Linked DNA regions of Oryza sativa Japonica Group. Each later gene encodes a partner of the first gene's protein in a complex. Links are inferred from orthologs where the notes say so. Each region holds a gene or a part of one and is shown in the gene's direction. Other genes may lie near its edges.

Evidence for each region.
Region 2: mitotic spindle checkpoint protein BUBR1 (region 1) and mitotic spindle checkpoint protein MAD2 share a complex: the UniProt entries of both Arabidopsis thaliana proteins name them as parts of the mitotic checkpoint complex. The link is inferred for Oryza sativa Japonica Group from reciprocal best matches to the Arabidopsis thaliana genes BUBR1 and MAD2.

The regions. Positions count from the first base shown.
Region 1 is NC_089036.1:5,218,836-5,222,754, forward strand, and holds the start of mitotic spindle checkpoint protein BUBR1, read left to right. Parts: upstream 1-1,025; 5' UTR 1,026-1,107; coding exon 1,108-1,352; intron 1,353-1,484; coding exon 1,485-1,544; intron 1,545-1,688; coding exon 1,689-1,833; intron 1,834-1,943; coding exon 1,944-2,101; intron 2,102-2,784; coding exon 2,785-2,866; intron 2,867-2,948; coding exon 2,949-3,015; intron 3,016-3,096; coding exon 3,097-3,142; intron 3,143-3,235; coding exon 3,236-3,401; intron 3,402-3,523; coding exon 3,524-3,609; intron 3,610-3,710; coding exon 3,711-3,791; intron 3,792-3,878; coding exon 3,879-3,919. Other genes in the region: uncharacterized protein, read left to right, coding at 1-255. UniProt on the Arabidopsis thaliana protein: Essential component of the mitotic checkpoint. Required for normal mitosis progression. The mitotic checkpoint delays anaphase until all chromosomes are properly attached to the mitotic spindle.
Region 2 is NC_089038.1:24,797,522-24,801,291, reverse strand, and holds mitotic spindle checkpoint protein MAD2, read left to right. Parts: upstream 1-1,367; 5' UTR 1,368-1,588; coding exon 1,589-1,661; intron 1,662-1,772; coding exon 1,773-1,788; intron 1,789-1,948; coding exon 1,949-2,079; intron 2,080-2,197; coding exon 2,198-2,422; intron 2,423-2,551; coding exon 2,552-2,673; intron 2,674-2,762; coding exon 2,763-2,819; 3' UTR 2,820-3,126; downstream 3,127-3,770. UniProt on the Arabidopsis thaliana protein: Required for the execution of the mitotic checkpoint which monitors the process of kinetochore-spindle attachment and delays the onset of anaphase when this process is not complete.

The DNA.
Region 1 (3,919 bases):
CGCCATTCGGCTCCGCAATCTGATTGGGGAACCCCCGATTCGGTGCCAGAGTTCGGTCCAGCTGATGAATACAGAGCGTTACGGAAGAAGTACCTGCTGCTGGAGGATGAGAACGGTGAGCTGGACAAGCAATTGAGCCAGGCTGAAGAGGAAGCCAGCGTTCTCGAGGATGAAAAGTTTGCGCTGCTGGATCAGCTTGTTGTGTTGGAAGGCCTTGTGGATCCTTCACAGATGCAGCCACCGAGAAGGCTGTGAGATTCTATGCGTGTTCGTTGCCTGTTCATAGTCCAATTAAGTTACCTGTTACTGCTTCCTGCTAGATATGTAACCAATTGTAATGGAAGAGCAAAGACATATTATATCGTTTATTATGGAAGTTTGAACATTTAGAGCACTTGTTTGGAGTTCTTTTTGTGCAATATGAAAGAGTGCTATCAGTTTAACTGAAATTTAATCGTGGCAAAACAGAAAGTTCAGCAAGCATGAAGCTTTGCGCCTTTGCCTCAAGTTTGAGTTATGCTTTTAAGAACTACGCAACTGGTCTTGGGGAAAAAAGCTGAACAATTTGTGTTTCATGTGATTTAAGAAACTAAATCTGTTCATGTGAAGATCAACTGATCATCACAAACTTCTGCGTAATGTTTGCACAAACACATATACTCCAGCATTAACATAAAAAAAACAAAACTCATTCATCACGGCGAATTGACGGGCCACAATTTTAACAGTATGATTTCTCAAAAATCTTTCTACAATAGCATTGTTTCGATAACCTTTTCTAACCAAATAATTAATTAACTTCATAATCTACAGTATATTGAATTAATCTATGAATTTATCGGCTAATTAGCTGACAAGCTGAACAGGGCTGAGACTGAATTTCTTCATAGTGACTCTGCCGTGTGAGTGCTGACGCAATCAAGATCCAACAATTTTAGGCCCACATAAACTTTCCAAGCCCAACTCATGAAAAGCCCAATTCTTTTTCACCTTATATAAACCCGAGCAGCAGCAGCATCCGCCTCAGCTCAACGGTCAAAAATCTCTTCCAATTTGAATATCTCTCCTCCCAAACGGTCGGCTCCGGAGCGGCGCCCGGACGAACACATGGCGGCGGCGATGGCGACGACGGCGGCGGCGGCGGCGGAAGAGGCGGTGGTGGCGCTCGACAAGGAGACTCTGATGCTGATGGGGTGCGGCGACGCCCCGCCGGCTGCGCCGTGCGCGGAGTGGGAGACGTTCAAGGAGAACGTGCGGCCGCTGAAGCGCGGCCGCAACGTGGGCCTCCTCAACCGCGCCCTCAAGGCGCACGCCGACCCCGCCCAGCGCGCCGCCCTCCTCGCCGCCCGGAGGTACCGCCGCCGCTCCCGTCACCCGCGTCTCTCGGTTCTTGGGTTTGGTTTGCTCTGGATTTCTTGATTTGGGGGCGGGTCTCTGGTAATCTTTTTTTTTTCGTCCTACGTTTGATTGATCTACTGATTCAGGAAAATGATCGAGGCAATCGACGAATACAGCGGCGAGGATCCGCTCCAACCATGGATAGAGTAAGCAATTTCCCCTTTGTTTCATTGATTCGTATACTAGTAGTAGTAGGTTGAGCCGAAAGATTTGCCATGTCGGCGATTTCTCTGCGGTTTCCGCAAGCTTGCTGCTCATGGCATGCCTTTGTCTGCTTAATCCACACGCAGCTGCATCAAATGGGTTCAGGAGTCGTTTCCGACAGGCGGGGATTGCTCCGGGTTGGTGGTGATCTACGAGCAGTGCGTGCGTGCCTTCTGGCACGACGACCGCTACAAGAACGATCTCCGCTACCTCAAAGTGTGGCTGGAATATGTGAGTTTCATGAATTCAGGATTGGTTCTGAGGTGGATTGGTTGGATTGGATTGGATTGGTTTGGTTTCCTTTTGACATCCAGTTTGGCTTGATCTTAATCTGTATGCAGGCGGGGAATTGTGCTGATTCCGAGGTGATATTCAGGTTCCTGGAGGCCAACCAGATTGGTCAGAGCCATACCAATTACTACTTGTCCTATGCGTCGGTAATGGAGTCCAAGAACAAGCTAAAGAAAGCTAATGAGATTTTTAACCTTGGTATTGCCAGGTGAGAATTTTATGGGGGATTGGTAGTTTAGTTTCTTCAGATATGAGAAAGGTTGCGGATTTTCTTCAGTGCTAGTCTGCTAGTAGATTATTTTTTAGTGATAATAGATAAGTTCCTTCTAAATTTCCATATAGCCTTTGACAAAGAATTCCTGTTCTAGATTTGAAGTCTGTTTTCTTCGGATTTTTAGTCAACAAACATATAGTCTTACATATCCCCATTTACTGTTTTAGTTCTATGAATTATAGTAACTAAAATGCATTAAACTAATTTGGAGTAAGCTTATGAACCGTTGTAGCTGAAAACTTTTACCTTCTCTATTTGTTTTTGGAGGGATATGACTTTTCTTGCCACTCTACCTATACCTTAATACCTAAAGCATACGATTTATGCATTTGTTTGACTGCAAGGTGTATAGTCTTCCATATTCCCACTCACCATTTTAGCTCTATGTATTATAACTAAAATGCATTAAACTGATTGTGGAGTAAGCTTATGAACTGTTCTAGATTAAAACATGTATTCCTGACTTCTCTATTTTTTGTTGGAGGGATATGATATAATTTCTCAATTTTCTGCTCTACCTACACCTTAATACCTAAAGCATACTATTTATGAATTTTGTTTGATGGAATGGTGCATATTAAACCGTAAAATTCTTTGGCTTTTTTTTTTTTGGTCAGGAAAGCAAAGCCTGTGGAGAAGTTGGAAACTACATACAGGGCATTTCTTCAGAGATCATCCAAAAAGAAGGCACATCCTGAGGTGTACATAGGCTGATTTAGTACCCTATTTTTAATCTATATTCCACTGCCCACTGAATGAATTCTATTATCTGTTGAAACAGGATGACACAACTACTGATGATCATCCAGTACGCAACTTTGGGACTGTCTTGAACCGTGGTGAAATCAGTAAGTTTGCTGTGATGGTATGATTAACATCAATTTCAAGTGCCTGGCTGGGTGAACTAATGTTGCATTTTGATGTGGCAGGAGGCCAGCATGCAGAAAACTCTCACCTGGTGAAAACTCTGCAAAGGTTATTACTTGTTATACGCATGCAATCAGTATAAAGAAATCTAGATGAACCTGGAATTTTTTTACTGGTGTTGATACTGTTGCAAATTTGCAGAGTTGATGTCAATAGGCCACTTGCAGTTTACACAGATGAGAATTCGTTACCTAGTCATGGCCTTGCTAGAACCAGGAGCAACAACACGGCCTGGCAGACCCTTGGATCACAAGCAGATCGGAACAAAGAAAATAACATGAGGCCTGCTAAATGGACATCACACAAGGTTTTTTTTTTCTCCCCTAAGCCACTAGAATTCTTCAAAAGGTCCCTTTTTGCGACATGTCTCGAGGTTTATCGGTTCAGTAATGATCAATGAACTGATGATAGTATTGCACTGAACAACAGATTCCTCAGAAGGTTGGATCGAGGGCAGCAGTTCAGCCGACTCGTGTAAGCTCCATTGAAGTCTTCGTAGATGACGAATGCGCCGAGTATGCTACTGTGCCCTTAAGTTAACAGTTTTGAATAGTTCTTTAAAAAGAGTAACTGTAAAAACGTATAATTTTTATATACCTTCCTTTGATTATTTCAGGGAACCAGTTCCCCAAGTGCCAAAGAGTACAAAACCATCTATTCTGAAGCTTAGGCAAGCAACAAGCAGAAACCTCAAGCAGTAAGAATAGTTCAGCTTATATTATGTTTCCAGAGGTTCTGTTCCTTTCTCATTTTTTTTTAATGTACACTTGCTTTTTTTTAACAGGGAAACTGAACTGCTTATGGAGAATCCTCTGCGGAATTTCC
Region 2 (3,770 bases), on another chromosome or scaffold:
TCCTACTTGAATTTTAAATACATCCAAATTAACTTTCAAACAAAAGGCAAACAGAATGTCAGTGCTAGTCAGTGGCTTTTAAGGCATAGGGGTAGTTTTTAGTATAGAATCACATAGTTCACAAATATATTAAAAACTATATTTAGATTATTGAGTATATTATTATCGCCATTATATAACCGATTATAGTGGTTAATTTAATATTTTAAGATAAAATATGTCTAAAATGAGTGGTCTAAGTAATACTCCCTACATGCCAAAATGGGTGTTAGGCTAAATCACTTCTAACGCAAAAGACCGAGAAATAATTTGATTATCGCATCGGTTAGATCACATCCGTACAGGCAAGCAGTGTGATTGGGGGCTTGATGGTAGATGGTTTAAAACAAACCAAATTTAAAGGACTAAGAGGTGATAGTTAATGTGCATGCATGCACACACACCTTATATTACAAGACATGGAAAAAAGTTGTTGTGCCGTGATGGAAGGACTACAGTATAAGTTTTTGTATTTTCAAAACATAATTTTCCAAACCGTGAATCAAATGATATGCTCTGATAATATAATGAATAAGCGTATTTTTTTAGTCTGGTGAAGAATAAACTTTTCGATTTACAATTCGGCCGAATAAGCCCAGAAAAACAGTAAGAAACAGATGTCTCGTTTGGTAAGACGCTCATTTTGCGAGAACACTCTAACCAGCTTTACTCTATTTTTTTTGGTGAAACCAAAATTGTTTGGTAAGTTATAACTGTGCTAAACGGACGAATATGAGGGCAAATAGGGGTTGTTGGCGGCAAAGGGCAAATACCTTCCCTCCGTTTCTAAGGGTATTCCCAACCCAATGTCTAGGATGATGTCCATAACATTATATAAGTTGCCACCTAGGATAAAAAATGATGTGGCAAGTAAATAAATGAGGAAAGAGAAGGAAACCATGTCTTGCATGAGATATGGTTTCTACACAAAATATCATGTAAGATAAATTGCATTAAATTGAAGTATGGAATAGTGGTGTTTATATTGAAAGAGTAGTGTCTAGTACTAATTTCTTGATGATGTAGAGTTTATGAAAACTATGTCTAGTGTTATGGGTTGGGACTGCCCTAAAGGCCAACCGTCCGAACAAGTTCAAAAACCCAGCCACCCAGGAGCATTTTCTCCAAGAAAATGGTGTTTCTACGGTTCTACTAGTAGTCTACTGGTACCAGTACAATTCATCATCAACAAGAGGTAAAGGACTCGAAGAGAGCGCGCGGCTTGGGCGAATCGCGCCAACCGAAGCCCACTGGCCCACCGCCCACACGACCGTTGGGAGCGCAGGTCCGGCCCACCTTTAAAAACTCCCGAAACCCACCCGCACGCCGACACCTTCTCTCCCCCGCACCTGACCCAACACGACCCATCGACAAACAACGCTCCCAAGTTCCCAAGCGCCGCAGCCCGCAGCCGATCCGCTCCACACTAGCCGTTGCCTTTGCCCGGCTTTTCCCCCCCTTTCCTCTTTCCTCTCCCCCCATCCGCCGCCGCCGCCGCCGCCGCACGGGAGGCAAGAGGAGGAGTTAAGAAGGTGAGGCGGATCAGGAGATGGCGTCGAGGACGGCGTCCAAGGACATCATCACGCTGCGGGGCTCCGCCGCCATCGTCAGCGAGTTCTTCGGTAGAAGCCGATCTCCGCTTCCGTTTCTTTTATTTTTTTTCGCCCTCGGCTCCTCTCACGCGTGCGCGCGCCCGATAGGTGTTTGATCGAATGCCTTTTCTCGTGTGGCAGGCTACGCCGCGAACAGGTGCGCGCTTCGCGCGGTTGCGGGTGCCAGGATCGACGGCCGCCGCTGCGCTGATGCTGGTTTCCTTTGAAAGAAAAAAAATATAAAAAACGGTTGCTGCAGATTCAGGGTTAATTTCTGATCCGGGGTGTTTTGTGTTCTTGGTTTGTGCGTGGCGCAGCATCCTGTACAACCGCGGGGTGTACCCGGAGGAGAGCTTCACCAAGGTGAAGAAGTACGGCCTCACGATGCTGCTGACGCAGGACGAAGGGGTGAAGACCTTCATCGCCAACCTCAACACCCAGCTCTCAGGTCGTCTGGCCTCACTCACCGGATCACTAGCCTGCCTGTCTCCATTTGGTTTCTTTTTTCTTTTTCTTTTGCTGCTGCTGATTGATCTTGCCTGTGTTTCCTGCGTTGCCGCGCGCAGAGTGGCTGGAGGCCGGGAAGCTGCAGAGGATCGTGCTGGTGATCATGAGCAAGGCCACCTCCGAGGTGCTGGAGCGGTGGAACTTCAGCATCCAGACCGACCCGGAGGTGGTCGACAAGGGTGTCATCAAGGAGAAGAGCGACAAGGAGATCATGAGGGAGATCCAGGCCATCATGCGCCAGGTCGCCTCCTGCATCACCTACCTCCCCTGCCTCGACGAGCCATGTAAGCGCCATTACCACCACCTCTACTTCTTCAGTGTTCAGTGTTCATCGCCTCTGCTCTCCCCCCCAATTCCTCCCAGCTCATCCGCATTCGTCGATTGATTGATTGATTGATTGATTGATTTTGCAGGCATATTCGACGTGCTGGCGTACACCGACATGGACGTCGCGGTGCCCTTCACCTGGGTGGAGAGCGACGCCAAGCTCATCGAGAATCCACAGATGGTGAAGCTGCATTCCTTCGACACCAAGGTGAATATCACTGAATCGACTCCGTTTCTTTTTTTTCGCTGCCTCTCCCAGATTGCTGACGTTACAGCGCCGTGTTCTTGCCATGGCAGATTCACAAGGTGGACACGCTCGTCTCCTACAAGGTCGACGAGTGGGACGAGGAGTAGAAGCCGCCGGTGGAGGTTGGAGCCATGAGGAGGAGACCCCCTTGCTAGTTTATTGCTGCTAGCTTATTTAGCTAGCTTAGCTTGCTAGGCGTGATGCTTGTGTGAATCGTTCGTTCATTCACGCCCTAGCCCTATCGGAACTCGTGTGCTCTGGGAGAATCCCTTTTCTTGTTCTTTACCGCATTTTGGGAGAATCGACTGTGTATCGCTGCTTCACCATGATTTTTTTTTCCTCAGCCTTTGAAATCCTGGGTTGAAAGTACCACTGGAGTTGAATGCATCGTGATCGTGTGCCACGATTTCTTCACTGTGTTGTTCAATTATATGTGTTGTTTCTCACTTCAGAATCTCAAAAGATTCAAGGTGTTTTGAAGTCATATGCTCTGTGAATAACAAAATGCACTTAAATTAAAAGTAATTCTGTACCATCTTCAATCTCAAGACAGCCGTATCCTCAAAGTTTATGTTATATCGACCACCGTTTTTCTTGTCAAAACTTGCATATTAAATTAGAAGTAATTTTGTACCATCTTCAATCTCAAGACAAAATGCACTTCTGCTGAATGAATTTATTCCAGCTTCGGAACTTCCAAGGCTGTTTGCAACAATCCATCAGAAATCTTACATTTTGCCAGACAACCTTCGTTGTCCGGACAAATTACACTTCTGATGAATGTATTTGTTTCCAGCTTCCAAGACTATTTGTGACAAATGTAAAACCCAGTATCAGCATGGGTAACAAACACATTGGAAACTAACTAACACCAAGATGCTACAGAGCTACATTTACATTTACATATAAACCAGAGGAACCCCAGGACCTGTTGGCAGCAACTAACAGGTCCTCATTTAGGCTGTAATCTTTGTACTCAGCCAAAGCACCTTGGATCTTCAGAGAGCTTGAATGATCATATTTCCAACTTTCAAGTTCCAACTTCCAAGGCTATTTAC